Oreochromis niloticus: one gene and its partner. The protein of the gene in region 2 interacts with the protein of the main gene of each other region in a biochemical or structural test. Links are inferred from orthologs where the notes say so. Each region holds a gene or a part of one and is shown on either strand. Other genes may lie near its edges. The genes, in order: bmp7b and bmpr1ba.

Region 1 (11,336 bases), on a different chromosome or scaffold from region 2:
ATCAAACTCTCTTTGCTCTTTATAGGATAAACATCTTGAGCAAGCTACACTTCCCTTGCACTCCGCTTTTCATCACCAGTCTCCTTTTAGCACACGGAAACTATGACTTACTTGTTCCCGGTTCTGTGTTTAAAACACTGTTAGAGTGAGAGCAACTGAAAAATAAAGAAAAAGACAGATCATTACGGGGCATCAGTCAATCTGTATAATTTAGTGCAGTGTTCCAGTCTTGTTCGTTCAGCCCCTTTTGACTGACTACGCATATCTGGTTTTAGGTACCAGGTGTGTTATTAGAGTTAATGAGCTCTATAGGGATCTAAAGGAGGTGCAAATAGTGGTGGTTAACTCTAGGGAGAGTGGTGCTGGGGTGAGATACCCCCTGCAGAGTAGCGGAAGCGCTCAAAGCAGGACTGAGGGGTGTGAGGGTGCCGAACAGACACTTGGGCTAATGCGAGCCGTCAGATCTGTCCGCTGCCGCTCCGAAGCCTGAGGTGTCGCAGAAGTGTCTCAGATCCACAGGACCAGCATGAGAGAGCAAGAGAAGGTAGAGGAAAAGAAAATGCAATCAGAGAAAGGGAGGCCTTACAAGCAGACACAAAAAGGAGTTATAGCAACTTTTACCGAAACTTCAACTGTAAAACGGTAACAGCGCCATCTGTGGCTTCAAGTAGTAATTAAAGGATTGTTGAAGTAAACCAAGCTTCCTTCAACAAAAAAAAAATCAATTTTTTAAACAAAATGCCAATTCTACAGTGTTGGACCTTACACTGCCAGCTGAAAACATCCTACAGACGAACAAGTTGACAACTTTGCAAACACTGCCACAATTAAGAAGAATTATCTGTAAAGCCACAGTTTGATAGGGCGTTCAAGTCTTTATGGTTTTTGTAAAAACTTTAAAGGGATATAACTTGAGAACAACAAAATGTGAATGTGTAGCTTTGATTACCCTCTTCAGTTGGACTTAATAGGCATGAAGCTGGGTGCCACAGGCAGGGTAGGACATTCAGGAACTAAACTCAGACATGCCAGAACTTTAAGAATTGCTGGCAATTAGAAAAACAAAGGATAAAATTGGTCTTAACTTGGAGTAATAACATGACACTACCATATCATCACCATATGAATCTGCTAAATGTAGCTTCCACTAAATGATTGCCTTAGTGTAGCACCGTGATTGACTCACAGCCCCATAAGAATACATTAATCCGTGATTGCATGAGAACAGGAAAAATAAGGGCGCTGTGACTAACACACCTCGTGAAAACATCATGCAGTAAAAGACTATGCCCTCACCTCCCTCTTCACATGCACACACACACACACACACACACACACACACACACACACACACACACACACACACACAGCACAGGTGACGATGTTGCTTCTCTTTAAGTCATCCAGGATGCAAATAGCAGACAGCCAAGTCATGGCCCTTTCCTGTGGTTGGGGATGTGTAAATGGGCATTTCAGGTAAAATTCATTACTGTTACTTAGCTATGACAGCAGGGTGAGTGTGCTAATTTTCTGGTGCGCTACAACAGCATGTGCGGCACACACCCAGGACCTGGGTGAGCTGCGCTCCATGCAGCAGTATGCATTCTGAATGCATGCTGTAAGTCATTTACACAGCTGGCCTTTTAAACTGAAGTGACTCAGAGAGAGGACTTCCCTGGCCTGAGGTCTGTCCCAAAGCCCACACCCACCCTCGCTGGCTGCATTGGTCTCTGCATATACTCAAACAAGCTGACAACAAAGTGTATCAGCTCCGTTGAGTGGCAATCAGTAAGGAAGAGTGAGAGCTAGAACAATTCTTTTACATTCTATGGACTATTCTAGTAGCTCAGGGATCTTTGATTTTGATGGCAATTCTAAAATCAGATCCATTTTCCCATATTTGACCATAAATTTAAATGCAAACAGTGCATGAAAACAGGCCTCTCAGGAAGCAGCACCCAGGGTACAAAGTCTGACTAATGTACCTTGGCTCAGTAGCTATGGAGACATGCAGTTTTGAGGGACAATTTTTAAATAAAAGCTACACTCATTTTGCTCTCAGACAACCTAAATAAGAAAACAAAAACCACAACGAGCAAATGTGGAAAGGAAGGAATTTGGAGAGGAAATAGTCAATCCATTTGAAAGCCATCACTTTCTTCTCAGTGAATTCCCTCTCCCTCCCTCCCTTTCGTGTAAAGGGTAACGAAATTGCATATTATCTGCTGTTTTGAATAAAGCCACCAGGATGTCTATTTGATGGTATCACATGAGAGTACGGAACCAGCCTAACAATGGACCCTACTGATAGATCTAACACGTGGCAGATTAAATCATGAATGCGCTGTTTATATCCAAATGAGTGTCATTTGAGGGAAGACTAAATACGTGCTGTGAGGAAGACTCAACCTGAGCAGATGCCATTAGTGATTACATTAGCCACAAGATTTCAAGAGGGCAGTGTGACTTTGTTTTTGTTAACATAGGAAATAAAAAAGTTCTCCCTAGCTGATGTAAGCCATCTTGCAAAAGTTTTTTGCTAAAAAGACCTTTGCAAAATAGACAGAGGAACTTTATCACTCTGCCAAAGGCTCCCTGCTCCCTTCTTTCTCGCCATCTTAGTGCCGTCTTGGCCCTTGACTTTGCGAGGCCCTTGACTTGTGTCTTGAGTCTCTGTGGTCAGATCCATCTGTGTCACAGCCTGTCAAAAATAGTCACAATGCAGCAGCTCCCACAGTAATTACACAGTGCAGTGGAGGAGCCAGTGTCACCTCCCTCTCTCTTGCCAAGACACTCCAACAATGATCTTTCCAGGATTGAATGTAAATGTCTCACTGCTTGCAGAAAGTCAAGAAAAAAAAATGTATTGGCTTACAAAAACTGTAACCATCCGTATGCCTCCTACAGATTTGATTTATTTCTATGTCTGTCTGGTCCCAGATTGATATGTAAAAGCTACTCATCTGGAACATAAATGGAGCTGTTGCTGTGACTACATAATTTGTTAAGTAAATTGAATTATAATGATGCTTTTATCAATCCATAAATCTGATACCACATGCTAATGTTTTGACTATTTACACTTAACAACCTCTGACTGTTGCTGGCAGCAATAAAAAATCCAGGAGTGTTCGATTTCAATAAACATATTTGATTAGATAAGCACATTGGGCCAGGAAACAACATTCAACAAAGCAATTTAATTGATGTGAAGTATGTCCTATGCCACTGATATTTATTTTGTGAACAACTGAATCTAATTAAATCACACTGTGACTAAACTAACATCACTGGCTGGCATTATTTGTGATGTGAGGGATGTCTCCAGATTAGAGTTAAGGGAGGACCCAGTGCACTTTGAACTCATTCTGCTGTTGACTTACTCATTCTTTAGATAACACATGGCTGACAAGTTAGCTGCTGTCTGGTCCATCATCCACAGAACAGCACCTGAACATTAGCTGGTTGCACAGCTGTTTAACAGAGAAGGACACTGGAATGTGCCACTCCTGGTATTAGCTAGATAACTGCAGTATGTAAACGTCGTTATTGTGCTGGTCTCCTTTGTGTGGACACAGGTGTACCATCAGAAAAATACTTGTGCTGTTTCTTTACGTGAAGCACTGTGAGAATATAAAATACCACCACAGTCATTCTGCTCTTCCACCTTTGACACTTACATATCATATGACTAAAAGCCTGATTTGTCCCAAAAACAATGTGTAAGATGTATCAAGCAGAGTGCAATATTAAAAGTACTAAATCTCCTTGTTAAAAAAAAAAAGAACCCCGACGCGAATTAACATATGAAACTTCTCAACACTTATAATCGTCAAGCCAAAGATATCTGTCCTTAAAAAAGCTTTTTTTTCAAAGTCCTTGCTATGTGTTTGATAATTAATAGATAAAGACAGTCATAATAGTACTACATTTTATTAATCAAATAAAAGACCTGGGTTATTATGACGCGCATAACAACGATTACATTGATAATATTTCAACGTGTTTATTATTCTCTACGGTCTTGTTTTTCTGGGAGGGGATTTATATAAAACTGAATTTGATGGGAGACTTAAGAAAATAAAGTGCCTACCTAAATTCACAAAGCTCATGACCATGTCTGCATCGTTTAAGAAGTTGTTGTCTTGCAGGCTGGCTATCGGTGGACCCTGTGTGGTGAAGACGGGTTTGTAAGGGTAGGAGTATCTGTCCTCGTCTCCGTCTGTAGACATGGCGTTGTACAAGTCCAGCATGAACATCGGGGCAGCATTGTGTTTTCCATGGAGGTGGGGTCGCGGCCGGTGCGGCAGTCCCAAGATCGACAGGATCTCCCGCTGCATCTCTCTGCGCTCCTGGCTCTTCAGCCGACGGTGGATGAAACTGGAGTGAAACTCGTTGTCCAACGTAAAGTTCGTAAAGGCAGTGTTTGCCAGGACGCAGTAGCTCCAAACCAAGAGCAAAACGGGAGCACGCTTATCCAAAATCTGTGCCATAATGCTCGCAGTGCGTAATTGCGCCCAATTCGGATCACCGAAACTCTAAAAAAAAAAAAAAATGGTTAGTAAACTTTTAGCAGCAGGCACTCTGTGTTTAATATCCAAAATCAGTTACGGTCCCTCATGTTGAGGGAAGTGCTGCCGAGTGAAACATCAACTTCACTTCAAAGTCCTTTTATTGACTGCTTTCCTGGACGCGTGGACCTCGGTCCTCATGCGCAACCTGTGGTCAAGCTCTACCAGCTGTAGTGCAGCCTGCAACTGCAGAGAGGAGGCTGCAAGCAGACAGGTTTCACTAGGAGAGACGAGAACAAGTTTTGAGGAGGCGCTGTTTGCAAAGAGGAGTAGAGGGAGAGAGAGAGAGAGAGAGAGAGAGAGAGAATGTTGTGGTTGCCTTATTGAGCAGAGCTAGCCTGGCTTTGTTGCCAGTAGGAGAACGCCTTGAGGCTACATGTGCAAATAAGAAAAGGATTAGGACTGGATTTGTATTATGACGCTTCAGTTTATTATACACCACATTTCGTCAATGCTTTCCACATTTCCTAGTACCTGTAGGCTCGTGATAATTCACTAATGACTGATGTTAAGACAGCCACAACAGACCGTTCATGGTGAGTGTACATATGGAAGGCTGATTTCATATCAGAGAGTTCTTATTTGACTTTGCAAGTGAATACTTCAGTACTGTAGGAGAGGTCGCAACATGTAGTTGCAGTCCTGCCATTACAATAGTTAATTGGCTGATCCGCAGGTGCACTCTCTGAATGCCTTGGGTCATGTGGCTCTGAGACTCTAAAGCCTGTTATCTTTTGATGTCAAAGAGGCTGTACTGCAGCCCCACAACTGCCATTTCACGCTGCATTTCTGAAGATATCCTAGTTTTCCATCCCCAGAGCTAGAGCAGGAAGTTTGTGACAAAAGCAGCAGTGCACAGGGCTCAGACTGCAAAGGAGGGGTGCAGATGTTCGGCAGCTGCTTCATTCCTCCATCTGCCCCCCTGGCACCAGCACCTCTTAAACACCACACTTTAATAGAACGCTCCTGACCCTCATGTGCGCTTTGCTCTCACTGACACAGGCGGAGGGACTTCAGATGGCCCGAGAATGACTGCTTTATCTAGAGAGTACTCACTGCACAGAGAGGGGAGTTTCAAAGGGTCTTCAGGCTACAGCTTGCCAGGTGATTTTTATGACAATAAAATTAGACTTCAATGGCACAGCAAGAGAGGCTGCCAGACAGCTTAAGCTATGATTGCAAACAGAGGAAAGGGAGGAAAGGAGGTAGAGCATGTCTTGGGGTCTTAGCTCACCTTCCTGCCCATTTAATGTGGTTGTTCTTGTCTTCAAAGGCGTTCCACTCCTCTTTTTTCCAATGACAATTCAACATGGCTTAAAGCATTAAAGCTTACATAGCCTGCCACTACTCATTTTGTATATCTAATACTCTATTTGCTTTTAACTCGCCTTTCAGTAGTATGTAACATATAAACATTTCTATCCGGTGCCTCAGATAGAATCAGCTAATGGCTGCAGGTGTTTACATAACAGCAGTTTCCGACAGAGGACTTGAAAGGTCCTGGGTTATAGCTATACATCTTCCTCTGTTTCTCACTTTCTTTTGACTTTCTCATTGTTTCATTCTCATGCCCTTTCTGTAAGTCTGGTGAGGTCAGATGCCCCCAGTGCTCTTCAAACAGCCCCCAGCCCTCAGTTCAGTTTGTGCCCAGAGAAGGGCTGACAATCCTGGACGGGACAATAAGAACAGACCCCCCTTTGTTTCGGCCTCCATGAGTCTGGTGACAGTCCCAGTAAACACTGGGCACAGGCAGAGGCCAGGCAGGGTAAGCTGCACTAAGGGGCCTTTGACAAGGGGGACTAGTAGAAAAGTAGAACAAACAGTGTTTGAATATCCTGTCAGTAATGCACACACACATACACACACACATACAAACTTCCAAAAGAATAGCCACAACTTGTCTCAAGTGTGTCCCACTAAATTGAATATTTTGGCTAAAATACACAAGCCAGACAAATTGTGAGACACTCTGTTTGGGCCTGTAAAAGAAAATGTTAAAAAATAAATGAATAAAATAAAACATACACGGAACATTTCTGCTTAGCTGCTGAAAAAAGTAGACACGTAGACATGCAGTGTACCTGAGTAAGTCTTTTCAGGAAGAAAACTCTGCTGAGTTGAACAGCTGTGCAGCCATGATGACAAGGGCTATTCTATTAGAGCTCATAATGGTAAACTCAAAAGGTCTTTTCTTTTAAAACCCAGCATTTGGCCTGGAGCATTTTGACTGCACACACACATGCGCTCTTTCCACTATGATCTTAGGGGATCTGAGCAAATAAACACCTCCCCACTACACTCCAACAGGTTGGAGCATGATGCAAAGCTCCAAAGAAGACCACACAGCGGTGCAGCGTAATATACCTGGAAATGCTTTCGCACCCAGGTAACACTTCAAAATATTTTGCTTCTTTCTTTTTACTTCTTTTTAGCTATGACAAGAGTTGATGCTCTTTCTGTTTAACTCTGCTTAGGAGCTCAAAGCATGCGGTCAGAGGTCAGATTAATATTTATTTCATGTGTTGCCTCAGAGAGCAGCAGGCAGTAGTCCTTTGAAGACCTGTGCATGCAGGGAGGCGGATGAGGTTTGGTGGAAGAGGGGCGGGGCGGGGTCTGACCAAGTAGACCAACAGACGATACAGTAAAACTTTTTTTCAAGGTAAACTGACCTTCAAATAAAGAAGTGTAGGGCCGGGGTGCCAGGACACAAGACGGCGGAGGCACATTTTTTGCTCATGCCCCCTCCCTCGTCTGCTGGTCCTGTCCTCCTTCGTCTATGTTTTTGGCGTAACCCCACTGTGTGCGCTGCACAAACCGACGGCCTGTTAAAACAGCCTAACCAGGTGGAGCAGAGCTATTGCAAATGTTCCCCTTCTGGTGTCTCACACTTCCAGGGGCCTCATGAACATATGAGACACAGCTGTGAGACAGGCAGAAGAAAAGAGGGGGGTGGGTATATGAAACAGCTTCAAACTAGTTCACATTGTAAAGCTCAACAACCAAAGAACCAAAACTCAATGTTTAACAACTAAACGTAATGTTTTGCCAGGTACAATAATCATGAAAAAGGGCGGCGATAAAAATTCAAGAGGACTTTTATTAGACTTGAGCAATAACAAATAGGTTACATATAATTTGGAACTGGCAATTGCAACCCAACCCTTATGTCGTTCTTTAATTTAATTTGGTATATATGAGCTTCATGACACTGTGACACGTCCAAATGATCTGCAGATATTTTCGAATGAGGAATATGTGATTATCTTATTTGAAATAGTGCACCTTGCAGCTCTCCTCTCCATCACTCACTGCTTTCTTTCAACCTGGTATGTCCTGCCACCCCATGTTTGTCTGCAAGCTGATATCACACTTGGGATCACCAGAGCAGCTTGAACCTGATTTATAGCTCTCAGCAGTCCAGCCAGACCCATCAGTTATAGTTGGTGTTGCTGACAATCAGAGATACCGTTTTAGTTAAGCCTTCTATAACGCCCAGCTTAGTAGAGCTTATCCTTTATAGGATGTTATCACTCAGGCGCCCTGTCACTTGTGTCATCAGCACAGAGTCCAGGCTTGACACTGGTTTCCTCACCCAGCCACACACTTATCGGCATCCATTACTGAGGTGTGTGGGCCTGATAAATGTCCACCCAGTTTCAGCAACTCTCGACAGAGGTCCCATTAAGATTCCTGTCTGTGTAGCGAGAGGCCTTGCCCCTTTGACTCTTGCTTTCATCACTCCATAAGGCTATGTTGGTCTGTCAATCAGAGAGGACCCTGGGTGATCAGTCAGCCCCTCTTTAGGGGATGCTGGTCTGAGGAGCCATTAGAGAGCAGGCAGCACAGACTGGCCAAAAACTGATGAGAAACAGAGGAGCAGCAGAGCCTGAGGTAGTAAGTGGAGGGGAGGTGGGAGGGTTGGCGTGTAGTGGGGGGTAGAAGAGCAAGAGGTGGATGAGCTGAATGTGGATTGTGAAGGGAGGGTGGTTCTGTTTTCTATTTGTGAGGATTAGGTTGACAGATCTGTATTTAGTTTCTTTGGGCCTCTAGCTGCAGCTAATCCCCCTCACCTGCAGCGGGTGCCCCCCCTTTCTTTCCTCTGACCCTGCAGCCCCTTACTTCCCCCATGTTCCCCCTCCTGCCCAGCACAAACACTCATCCCGAGACAAGCACATGACTCGTTGCACTCTGTCTCCTCAGGTTAGGGCCTCACACTCGACACAAATCTCTCTTGGGCCAAAGGAACAGCAGGGGTCTCGGGCTTTCTGGAACAGAAGAAAAAGGACCCCGGCAACCTGTGGTCTTCCACATATTAACATTTTTTCAGCTTGGGTGAGGGGTTGTTCCTCATCACTAAGAGATAGCAATTACTCAGAAATTAAGAGACATTACTACGGAAGCAGCTTGTCAAAGTCACTCAGGGGAAAGAGGGACCATTGGTAAAGCTGCACATTAGAAAATATTCAGGGTCAGGTCAGGGGCACGGACCTCTTCTCTTTAGATCCTGGCTCCCACACGCTCTGAGCAGGCCTTCACACTGTGGAAAAAAAAGACCACAGCGCCTCTCCAAACACACGCAGCATGCCTGCCAGCAATTCTGAAAGGTGGGGACTCTTGATGACCTAATAGTTGTAAAATCCAAGCACATTTTTCTGCTTTAATGAAGCGACATGACTGCAGCACAATGCAACCAAGAGACAGAAACAGGTTCTGAAAGGTTGTTTATGAAGTAAAATGTGCAATTTCCTCAGGGTGTCGTATTTATTTAATGTCTTTTTAATGTTTGTAGCTTAAAACAGCTGTAATTAGGCAATAACTGTCTGATATAGTAAACTGAGCTCCTAACAAAAGAATGAGCAGCATTTGTACCATTTAAGAGAGCCTTAAAACACATGTTGGCCAGCATTATCGTTACGCACACAGCCATCATCAAAATTACATTTAAAAATCACTTCCACATGGCTAACAGAAACAATATATATTTGGCTTCTCACAGACGCTAACCACAACCAATTAAACTTGCACCCACCCTACTGAAACCGCACACACACACACGACACACCTTTGGACAAAAAGCAGCAAGCTCAGCGACACGGCCTTATGAATGTCACATAGGGTGCTGTTTCGGATTTTTCTAGATTACCAGGATATGCCTCCTAATTTACACCACGAGGTGTTAACTGGCCCACACACACTGGATCACTGACCTTTATCTTCAACGGGAAGACTGGTAGGAATAAGTTTTAAGCTTATGCAGTGATGTGCAAAAGACTTGAGCCACCCCTCATTTCTTTATGTTTTGGTAGGAAAATGGGAAATAGATGAAGGGATTAATTGAAACATGTGCAAACATATACAGAGATACAGTTTACAAAGCAAAAACAGAGTTTGTGCAGTTAACCAGCTGAAAGTCAACATTTGGTATAACCCCCTTTATTCTTCAACACAGCCTGAACTTTCTTAGGCAAGCTTTCTTATGATATTTATAGTATTCAGGAATAGTTCTCTGGCTTCTTGACGGACCTTCTTGAAGCTCTTTTTGGTTGTTGGCTGCCTTTTGCTCTGTTCTCTATCAAAATGATGCCTTTTTTCCACACTGCTTCAATAATGATGAGGTCCAGGCTCTGGGGAGGCCAATGCATGACTCATAGTGTTCCACTATGTGTTTTTCTATCCAGGTATGCTTTTACTGCATTGGCAGTGTTTGGGATCATTGTCATGTGGAAAAAAGAAAGTTCTTGTGTGTCATGCAATTTCCAGATCGTATTGCATGGTTGATTAACATCTCACAACACTTTTCTGCATTCATAATTTCATCGGTTTTGACAGGATATCCAACACCTTGTTTTGCAGATGGCTTCAGACACCTCTCTCTTCAACTCTTCCATACATATTGATGATGATTTGAACCATCTTGAAAAAAAAAAAAAAAAATTGGATTCATTAGTTTTTTTCCTATTTGTTAAGAATATGGCTCTCATATGCCGTTCCTCTGCTCTAGATCATTTTTAGATCTGCCACTTCTTTTGTCCACCACTTGTCCAGTTTCCTCAGATTTTTTAAGGTCACAATGCACGCAGTACTGAGATATTCTATGTTTTCAGTTAATAGCTCTTTGGCAATCACCTTGTTCGTTCAAAAATGGTACTTTCTGTCTCTCAAACCGTGTTGTCTTTTGGATTTTCCCTAAATTTAACTGAAGAAATTGAAAAGTATTTACTTCACAATGTGTGAAGTATCTAAAGTGTCTAAAGATACAGTTTAAAATTGTCTCTTTGCCAAGATGTCTGTTAGGTGTCAGCACAACACTGTTCCACCTCTTGACATAAGTGAGTTTTTATGCTTGAATGATTCATAGGTCACTGTTGAGTGACCTAACAAAAAACAGCCATTGCCAATGAACAACTTTGAAAGGCCTTCAGAAAGCCCAGAGAACTATTGCTTAACACCACTTTAAAAAAAAACCCTTTAAAAAAAAAAAAAAAAAAAAAGTCTGGAGAATGTAAGTGTTGCCTGTTTATCAGAATCGCATAAGTCTGAAGCAGCACCACTTTTATTTATTTATTTATTTATTTATTTGCTTAATTTTTAGTATCGGTCATTAAAAACGGCGTGACAGTGTTAGGAGACACCTCTTTCTTTATTTTACTTTCAAAAATCATATTAATTTAAAAACGTTTATTATTATTAATCACTTTTCTATTACTAATTGTTATTACTTTCGCAATGTATCTATTTACTAGCTCGGTTTTGCTTGAATACCAT
Region 2 (11,154 bases):
TTTAAGAAAAGGAAACAGGCTGAGTTGTAATAGATTACATAAGAACTCGACTGAAAATTTGTGCAAACAGGTCTTATGGGGTGATTAGTCAATTTGGACATTTTTGATTCATTATCAGTACGTGAGGAGAAGGTCCGGAGAGAGGTACAACAGAGTGTTTACAGCCATGTGTAAACTCAGTGGACACTCTGTCATAGTTTATGACTGCATTTCAGACAATGGTGTTTTGGATCTTCTCAAAATTGATGAAATTATGGATGCAGAAAAGTACATCTGAATTTTAATCCACGATGCAATACCATCAGAAAAGCATTTGATTGGCAACGACTTTATTTATCAGCCTCACAAACATACAAAGCAGTAAAACATACGTGGATAGAAAGACGCTTAATGGACACTAGTCATGGATTGGCTGTGTGTGATCATCTTGATATAGAACAGAAAGAAAGGCAGCTAACATCCAAAGAAGAGCTTTGAATGTCCTTCGAGAAGCCTGGAGAACTATTCCTGCAGAGTACTTAAAGAAACAAGCAAAAATCCACCTCACTGGTGGTTTTTGTCAGGCCTTGCTTGCCCTGCTCATTTATTAAAACACAGATCTGTATGTTAATCTATGATGTTATTGTTTTTGTCTTCGTTATAACACTTTTACACATTCAGATGGCAAAAGCAGCTGTTCTTAAACACTGAACACTAACAAATAGACTTCTTCTTCTTTGCTGGCTAAACATTCATTGTATTACATTTGTTTTGTTTTTTCCCTGTGACTGACAGTTTTCATAAATGAGTGTCTGACCTTATAAGATATTTAACTACACTGTCAGCGTAACTATTACTATGCGCTACTGTTTATGTCATATATAAAGAGTAAAATGGGTTCTAATCCTAATTTTAAATTCATGAATGCAAATGCTGTTAGATGCACCATTCCCACAGGTAAAGCAAACCCTGAGCAGATTAAACATGTTGTTCCACGTCTGGCCAGGCGAGACGAGACATCTGTAAGTAAAACTATCACACAAACAACAAAATGCTCTACAGCTGAGAAAAAACACACTAACAACAAAAATTGCAATTTACATTACAGACAAGCTAGTGTTGTTATTGTTATATTTCCTGCAATTTTTCAAAACATTTACAAAATAGAGTTGTATAACCACGTAATTATTCGTGGTGATTTTTTTTAAAAGACAAATCCTTTTTTGTTTTTTTAAGAGTTTTTGGAGGGTAGCTGTTATGGTGAAAATCAAATCTGTAATATAATCTAACATAATTAAGGTTAAGCAGTAAATGTTTCCAGTGTTTGCCGCTCCAACCTTTTAGAACAGAGCCTCAGATCGGATGCTATTTAAGGCAGGCTGGGCACAGTTCATTATCTCAACCCTAGAAGCAAAGAGGACTCTGAAAGAAAATCCAAAATTTAGAATGTTTCAGAATTTGAGTAGAGATAAATGCTCAAATGTTTCCATAAATCACACTGACACTGTAATTAAAGAGCGTAAGGTCTTTTGGGGGGAAAAAAGGCTCCAGGCTAAGTTCTCTTATCTGTTTTTGAGTCTTATCAACTCCATCAAGTTGAGGAAATTAAATGTTAGAGAAACTAAACACTGCACTATGGTTCACTTAAATGATTGTTTACACTCTGATTAACCCTACTGTCATACGCATTCTTATTTAATGCATCGTAGGTAATCTGATTCGTGTAATTAGGGATTTGATATTGTTTTAAATCAAGACTGTCGTTAGCATAATAAAAGGAGAAAGATAAAAGCAGCGAGGTTTGGCAAGCAGCCACTGCAGAATGGAATGAACAAAAATATCAAGGACATGGCACATTTCTGTAAATCTGACCTCATGCCATTTACCCCTTTGCTCTCACTGAACACTTGAACAAATCAATTTTATGAGCTCCCACTATTGCATCATGGTTTTATCATTCCTTTCAATAACCCCTATTTCATCTGGTTTAGCTTCATTTTTTGATGCCTACGCATAAAAACTACAAAGCAGTACTTCTAGTTTTACTTTGCCTGCTCGGTTATGGACATAACATCATCAAGAATCTTTAACACGAATGTTCGCTGAGTTTGGAAACTGGGATTTTTTGAGGGGCATGCTGAGTCTACTGTGTTCAGTGGGTGTCAAAAGTTACTTCACTTGACTGCATGGCATGACATGGATGGCGGTAATCATTTTGCATATAACATCCTAAAACAGTCCCTGTCTCCAGTGTATTTTTTTTATATGCCCAGTTGCAAAAACTTTGTATTCAGCTGTTTGACAACGGGAAAAAAATACATCATAAAATAAAAACAGCTTTGACAATTTGCCTGCATTTAAACGTACCACACATGCAAGCACAAAATAAAAGAGACAGGCTTACATCTACCGACTAACACAAATACTATGCAATCTCACGGATATGTTAAATAGGGCATGATGTCACCCTTTTGAATAAGCTTTACTTTCCAGTGCAATTTTGCAGCACCTCTTCCTTCCTAAGTGTTGCACTTATCTTTTTTTCTAGGCAAGCACAAATTCAGTTTGTTTTAGGCAGATTTGGTATTCTTAGAATGTAGATTAACCTCAAGCAATGTGATCTAAATTTCCAGCAGTAAGCACGTCTCACATCACGAGGTGTCTAAAACTGTTAAGTGTCCGATATTTCTCTCTCTCTGATGCACACTCACACACACACATACACAAGGACAGAAAATTAGGGAAGCGTTCTGTTTACAGCTGCTGTGTAAAACTCAATTACACAGCCAATTGAGAATGTGGCTGTTTCTCAGATTTATGTGATGTGTTCCTGACCTAAATAAGATTGCTGTTCCAAGTGAAGCCTCAACAACTGCAAACACTTACTACTTTGACAGACAAGGAAAACAGTACCTTCACACTGACGCACAGAGGCGCACACACATACACACACACCCACACACATACACACACATCTGGACCTCTGTTTCTCTCATTTATACTTGCTGAGTGCTTTCCTGCGCGGTTTCCCCGTGTTACCGGTCCCGGACCCCTCAGATGAGGTGAGGTAAGATTTGGAGTCACAGGATTATGCCATCTGGACAGACATTCACACAGGCTTGCTCATGTGAACACATGCACACATACAGATATAGCCTGCTCTTGTCATAAGCTACACTGACAAACACCTGGACCTGGTTACTGGTCTCAAAGAGAGAGCTGAATACTATGTGCATGCCTATGTGTGTATAAGTGGGGTGTATGGGGAATACTGGGGCAGTGCTGGAGGCTGTGTTGAGGTTCATTTGATTTTTTTTTCCCCCCTGCTTTTTGAGCCCTTGAATAAGGGGGCCCACTCAGGCAAGTCTAGAAAATTCAAGTTGGGTCACTGCTACTACAAGTTGTAAGCCAATTCTATTAAAATATTCAATCGTCAGCTGTCATTATAATATATATGCTTTTCTTCACACAATTGAATTTTCCCTCTTATTGAGAAACTAATAACTTCTTTTTAATTAATGAAAAAATCTATAGGGTTCTGCATTGATATAGAACATTTGAAAAAGACAAAAGCAAGCCTTATATTTGTTTATTCCACCATAGTCTGTCAGATTTTTAATTTGTGGTCATCCCTCTTTGCCCTCAGAGCATTTTAGCAAAATGTTGCCCTCCCCCCCAAAAAAAATAGAATATGCAGCCTTAACTGGCAACAGCAAAGCCTTGCAGGATCTGTATGCAGCAGCTGTTATTCACTGTGTTGGTGACACAGATCTGTACCTGGTCATGAGCCTGCACCTTGTGTTTTGGCAGTGAACAGGGAGAGACTGATTGAGCTGGGTCCACCATACAGTCATCCCCACTATTCAGAACAATTCAGTGATTGAGACCACTGTACCACCAGGGCTTTTCAACCATGTTAGCATGTGTTTGCTCACTGGTGTGAGACCAGAGCCATCAAGCCACCATTCTGCCAACTGCAGGGCATCCTTCTATTTCTTCAGGTTTTGTTTGAGGTTAAATTAAATTGTTTGCAGCCGATGATCATGCATAGCTATGTGAGCCTCTTACTTTCCCCAAGAGTTTGCGCCTGGGATTTACAGTCAAGGGACGTTGAGCTGAGCTGATTTTATGGAGCACACAAAACTGATTAAAAGGATTATACAGGTCCATCACACTATCGAAGCACTCCACAATCAGATCAACCAGACTCTGGTGGAACTTAAAACACTCGGTCCTTCACCTATTCCTATTCTAGAAGAAGTTTCTAAATTTGTGGACAAGCCACAGCTGGCACAACACATTAAAGGAAAAGTTCCATGCATTGCAAAAGGGACTTGCACCAAGCCTCTTACTAGAGGTATCATTCCAAGGTGGGATCTGAAGACACTTCCTCTCTTTCAAGCCATGAGTACTGATGGGACTGGAGAATGACCTACTCATTTCACATGCCACAGCTAAAAGCTTTGGTTTTGTCCTAGTGTTTTCTGGTGAAATTAGCCAACAGTAAATCCTGTTACAGGGCTGTACATGAACTCATAGAACTGGAGTTACGTTAAGTAACTACTATTTGCACACTGTACAGATGAATATTAAAGTACAGAACAAGAAAAGGAGGGATAAGGTACGAATCTAGAATCCATCATGCATTCCTCTGATAACAGCACATATTATTGATTGTTAAGAAAAAAGAAGTTGCGCTCTTGGCTGACCGCTACCGAGTGTTATTTAACATGTAGCTTAATTTACTTTTCACTTTTGGAAAATACAGACCAAGCAACGCCACAGAAATCCCAATCACGTAAAGTGTAACGTAAACACCGCTAACAGAGACATGGGTAAACTATTAAAGCTCCTCCTAGCGCTTAAACTTCTCTCTCTTCCATCACATTGTGGCTCAGGAACAGCTACGCAGTGAGATAAGCCTCAAACGCTTCCAAAATAAACAAAAATAAGTCGATATGACGTGAATCTGACTGTAAACACCCCGAAAGAAACGACAAAAAACGCTCTGTCAAACTTCCCAAGGTGAATACAAACAATTGCGACTGAAAAAGATCTCCGACTCGCGTCTGCTTCGAGTTTACTCACCTTAGGATGCTTTCTGGATTTCTTTTTCTCGACTGAAAGGAAAAGTTGCAGCCCACGGTACTCAGGGTAGAGACGCGAGTCACTCTGTTTCCAAGGGTAGCTTTTCTTTCTCTCGCGCTTTTCCCTCGCTCTCTTTACACTTAGACACACACACACTGGTCTCACACAAGACTGTGTTTCTCCTAAGGTCCCTCAGCTGCAGGAGGGTGATTAATGCCACAAGAGAAGGAGTGCATTAGCAGGAGAAAGGTGAGTGAAGACTCGCACTGAATGGGTTCCTTAAAACCACTCCAATAGGCTAGTTGTTTAAGGAACACCTAAAACACAAATGAACTCCAGTCTAATTAAAAAGAAAAACAACATCCAGGCTTTGTCGCACAAAACAGTGTTTTTGTTGTTTTGCTTTCCGAGATGTGAAATTCTTAGATTTTCCCTTATGAACTTTTTAAAATTTGATGGAGTTTAAAATGAGTCTTGTGTGACAAGAATATCAAAGAGGCCTATATGCTAAGGATTATACATCATGGTACAATAACAAGTAAACATTAGCTCAGCAATGCTAAATCAAATAAGTAAGCTATGAGCTAACTCCTTAAAATATGTTACCATCAACTATACTGGATAATTTTTCTGCCTGACTCATGCCCCATCAATTGGGACAGCGTGTAAGGGTCAGTGCTGGGTTTGTTAATGTGTCTTATATACACTCAATAAAAATCCCTAAACAGTTATCTCATTTTCATCGTTTTCTACAATAACAGTAAAATCAGTTTGATTGTGCAAAGATTGGTTTGTATTAAAAAGGCTGGTTGTATAGAGGACGTGGGAATAATGTGTGGTGATGTGCCCTACATACCACTGTTTACTACCTCAGTGTCGCTCACATCCTTTCAACCATATCTTTATTTCTCTGTCTGCCTATTTTAACATTTGTCAGCAGCACAGATGTGTTAAAATTCCTCTTTTGACAGTGGTTATGACTTCTCTACAATCGTGTTAACATAGTTTCATTTGGTTAGATAGCATTACACTATAAAGAAATAGCAGACATAAAAAAAAATTTGTTTTGGGCATAAAGGCACACCATTTATTTAAAATCCCAGATCAACTTTAAGAGTTCCAACAACATTTTTGTACTTGAGAATTTAGAGACTGAACACTTTAATCATGCCTATTAGCCCCTTACAGTAAAAAACAAGATTTATAATTATAAGAAGTCAGTGAAAGAGTGCGTTGTCATTTGTAATAGCATTGGGGGGAAAACTAAATAGGCTGGATGTATCCTGCACCTGTATCCTGAGTAGACAGTCACAAAACAAGAAACTACCCTCCATCCATCCATTCCCTGCACCAGTTTCTAAAATAACAACATTCTCTGCTTAATGTCATCTCAAACATTTTTTCCTCTTCTAACTAAATTTAAAAAAATGCGCTTTCTAAACAGAGCTAAACATCTGAATGAAGCATAAGGAGAAGTGTATGAAACAGATATTAAAGCAAATATATTTTCTTTCTAAATCATGGCAGAAAATAACTAAAAATGGGATTCATGAAACTATGAGAAATGTCAAGAAAGATATGTTGGTCCACATAGCAAGGAAGAAACAGGGACTTCTATATACATTCACCAGACACTTAAATATTCACTTTAATTTTTAACTGCTTGTTAATGCAAATCTTTCATCATACATTAAGATGCTAGAAATAGTCAAGGTAACTTGCTGAAGATCAGAATGGGGATGAAAGTTGATTTAAGTGACTTGAGAGCATCTCTGAACTCGCAACATGTCAAACCTTGAAGCAGATGGGCAACAGCCCAGTATGGATGTGCAGTCGCCAAATCTGCAACTGTCGGATGTTGTCATGTCAATATGGACCGAAATCTCAGAGGAATGTTTGCAGCAACTTGTTGAATCAATGCAATGAAGAATTAAGGCAGTTCTAAAGGCAAAAGGGGGTCCAACCCAGTACCAGCAAGAGGACACTAATGAAAGCTGGTGAAAGTATCTATGAAAAACATTTGATCATTTTTGGTGTTCAGGTTTGCTCAAGTGCCTTAATGTCCTAGCCAGTTTCACTCAACAAATAGAAAATGAAATCAAATTTCCTTAAATTAAAACATTCAAATAACTGATTAAATCAAAGGCAGCAGCTTTAATTACAACTCGGACATTCACAGATGAATTGTATAAAGCAAATAACACAAGCATATCCTGCAGTATTTTAATGCATATACTGGGAATTTTTTTATAGTTGCTTGTGAAACTGTAATGCAAAAAACAAAATAAAACAAAGTGTAACACAGGACGTTCTACAGTTTTATCTTTAAGTCTTTATAGGTTTTAGCCAGATTAATAAAATTGATTACAACTACACAAACACTAACAAATATCATAACTAACAATAAAAACTTGCCAGCATCCTTGAATACTTAAAATTATCAAACATTTCTGGTGGTGTCTAAAGATAATGAGCACTCTGCAAGCTTAATAATAAAAACAGAGAGTGAGATGATCTCACCACTCAAGACAAAATTCAGAAGAACAAAGTAAATGATAAAGTAACAGTCCTATGTGTGAGGAAATAAAAATGGCATTATGGTACATAAAATGTATCAGTTGGTAGTAAAACCTTGCTGTTTGGGGATGATTGACAACATAACATTTAGTTTACAAAGATCAGTTATAATTGATTGAAATGTTGTCAAAACTAAGATCCTTAAGCTTTATTGCTTTTTGTGCTAAGAGATAGCACCACTACAATAATGACTACTACTGTCATCATAAAAGGTGTCCCCAACCCTCTGTGAGACAACATGTGGCCAAGTGAATAGTTTAGGCTTCATATCTTCAGTGTGTGAGCATGCTTCTTGCAAAGAGGTTTGTCCTTTTTGGAGAAGAAGGTCTGGCCTTCCAGTGTGGTACAGCACACCTGTAAAAAGCCCAACACACATGAATAATAAGAGATTATATAACAAAAGTTAGCCAGCCTACACTAAAGCTCACAATGGATGTAAGTCAGTGTTTCATCTAAAATAAGCACTGCTGTCATATTATTGTGAAAAAATGACTTATGGTGAGGTTATGAGATTGCAACAAGTAAGCTATTCTGCTAAAACCTCCATCACAAAGGATGGATAAAAATGAACATTGTTGTAGTACATTAACAATAAAAAGAAAGAATGACAGAAAGAACTAAATAGGGCCAGTAGCAGAGAGTAGCACTATGACCTCAAACTTCTTTCTGTGTCCAAGTTAAATAGATAAAAGTTTCTTGATGGTTCAAAGTTGGAAATGGGATTATGAGTAAATGTGACAGTAGGTCGTATGTGTTAGTCTGCTGATGGACTCAGTTTACTGTGACACATGCCTGAAGTCTTTACTTACAGCACATACAAAGCAGGTATCATGCCAGGTGTAACCAAGGGCTTCCAGGAATTTGTCTCCAGCCTCGATGGGAAACTCACAGCCATGACAGCCAGTCCCAAACAAGCTGTAAAAGTCTGTTTAGTGACAAAGAGAAAAGTCATGTCACTATGGTATAAACAAAGGGTTTAAAGTCATAATGGCAAGACCCAAGCAAACTTTAGTACTCAACAAAGAGAGCTTGTAACTCTTTGGGGTACAACAGGTTCACCCACACTCCAAATACACGCATGTTAGGAAAACTGGTGATTCTAACTTCAATTCAATTCAATTCAGTTTTATTTATACAGCGCCAAATCACAACAATAGTCGCCTCAAGGCACTTTATATTGTAAGGTAGACCCTACAATAATACATACAGAGAAAAACATAACAATCATACGACCCCCTATGAGCAAGCACTTTGGCGACAGTGGGAAGGAAAAACTCCCTTTTAACAGGAAGAAACCTCCGGCAGAACCAGGCTCAGGGAGGGGCGGCCATCTGCTGCAACCGGTTGGGGTGAGAGAACGGGTCGCAGTTCTCTCATCCCATAGGTGTTAATGCAAACATAAACACCTATAACTTGGCTATAGGTGTTAATGTTTGCACGAATTGTTTGTTGTCTCTCTGTGTTTGACCTGCGATAGACCGAAAACCTGTCCAGGGTGTACTCTGGCTCTCACCCCACAACAGCTGAAACTGGATATAAAACACATTGCGAGTGAGCAGCAATCCAACTGAAGCCCACTTTTATCTTTTATCTATTCACAGACTGCTGGATTTTTTTTTTTTCTTTTATTCTAGCAAAAAAACATTGTATACCGCTACCGCTATACTGTCCTACATCAGGAAAATGCTGATATTCAGTACATTTAACACTAACTCATCACACACACTGCTTACCAGTGATCCACTGTGAATCAGCAGGTGTTGTTGTTTCTGATCCTGTTGTTATTGGTGACAATGAACATCGACACTTGACACTAATTTTAGGGGTTGATTAATTATAATCAATCCATCCATGCTTTAGTAATAACTAGCAGTTACAGCCTGCTGGGCTGAGTGAGCAACACCAATGATAACCACTGTACAACAAGTTTTCTTTTTTTTTAATATATTTTATATTATTTTTGTGTTGTCAGTAAAACCAGAGAAGTGTTATTAATGTAGCTTACCACTGACCATACACTACCTACATGCTTCATAAAATGGAGTTAAGATGTTTTCTGATTTCTTTCATTTATTTCAGCAGATGCTTTGAACTTGATTATACCATGTACAATGAGTACAGTGGCAATTACAGGAAGTACATCTGGATATTTTATCAACCCCATTATAACTCACCCGGTTCACAGTATGGTTCTCCATCCTCCAGGTGGAAAGTGTTGTTTCTGATTGGTTGCTGACAGTAAGCACACAGAAAGCAGTAGACATGCCAAGTCTGCTTGAGGGCATTTATCACCTCCTAAGGGAAAATGTAAACAATGTGGCTAGTAAGAGGCATAATATAGTTTTAGGTGCATTAGTGTATATAATAGAAACTGGAAAGCTATATCCACTTTAACAGGAAATGGAGGTGCAGCATCTTATGAAGGGATGTTATCATATTACATTGCTGCTTATGAAATTTTATTCACAAAGTCACAAATTTTTACGCAAATCTTTGTACAACTTTTACCAGAGTAGGTCATTTTATTTTTTCTTGAATATCACCGGTTTTTTTTTCTCTCTCCTTGGTCTCCATGACCTACACCGATTTCTTTCCCACCCGTAAACTGTGAGAGCAAGATAAGACAAAGAATCGATGGAAAGTTGGCGAGCTGAACTAAAATGAAGGATTATGAGCGAGGGAGTGAGAAAACAGGTTAATAAGAAGCCATAAGCTGTTTGAAGATGTGTGAGAAATAGAGGGTTGAAAGGGATTTAGGCCACAGGGGTTAGAACACGTGAGGGATGAATGTCATAGTAGCAAGGAGAGCAGAAATTTCAGCGTCCTGACACTCTGGGTTCAGGCTACACCTACAGCCTCAAGGCCTCTAAGCCTAATTCTCCTAACACCCAAAAATCTACTGCATTCCTGAGTTTTACTGGTGGTCACCGTAGATATTCCTCTGCACATTCAGGCTTCCTGCTCTGGTCTTTTATGTATTTAAAAACTGTCTTTGATGTTGTTCCATCTGTACTTTTTAAGCTTTTCTGCAAGTAGGGAAATAGGGAAATAATTACATTCCTGTTTTAAATGAATACTTCTGTTAGAAGTATTAATCTAAACTCTAGACAATAAGTGAGTGTAGTGGCTGCGACTCAGGAGGTAGAAAAGGTCATTTACTAATCAAAGGGTCAAGTGGTTTGATCTCCGGCTACTCCATTCCACATGCCTAAGTGTCCTTGAGAAAAATACTATGCCTATTGTCTGAGTATCAGCATAAGTGCATAGAATAAAACATATGAAAAGCCGAATGTGAGTTGTAGAATAACAAGTTCTATGTGCTAAAGTGCTAAATATAGACACCAGTGCATTTGATCATAAACAGATTTCATAATAAAGGAACCTCATGTCCCAGCGAGCAGGAGGTTTACACACAGTATATACAGTAAATATCTGCATGAATATAGATTTCAAGTTTTAGAGCTACTAATCATGTTTACACAGTGTTGTATAACAATTTATTTACTGCAG

The links.
Region 1: the proteins of bmpr1ba (region 2) and bmp7b form a complex in vitro, tested with the Homo sapiens proteins (2 studies listed by BioGRID). The link is inferred for Oreochromis niloticus from reciprocal best matches to the Homo sapiens genes BMPR1B and BMP7.

Annotation. Positions count from the first base shown.
Region 1 is NC_031984.2:13,767,807-13,779,142, forward strand, and holds the start of bmp7b (bone morphogenetic protein 7b), read right to left. Parts: upstream 4,812-11,336; 5' UTR 4,494-4,811; coding exon 4,094-4,493; intron 1-4,093. UniProt on the Homo sapiens protein: Growth factor of the TGF-beta superfamily that plays important role in various biological processes, including embryogenesis, hematopoiesis, neurogenesis and skeletal morphogenesis.
Region 2 is NC_031977.2:20,491,839-20,502,992, forward strand, and holds the start of bmpr1ba (bone morphogenetic protein receptor type-1B), read right to left. Parts: upstream 5,320-11,154; 5' UTR 5,068-5,319; intron 1-5,067. Other genes in the region: pdlim5a (PDZ and LIM domain protein 5a), read right to left, coding at 7,909-7,998, 8,454-8,569, 9,819-9,939. UniProt on the Homo sapiens protein: On ligand binding, forms a receptor complex consisting of two type II and two type I transmembrane serine/threonine kinases.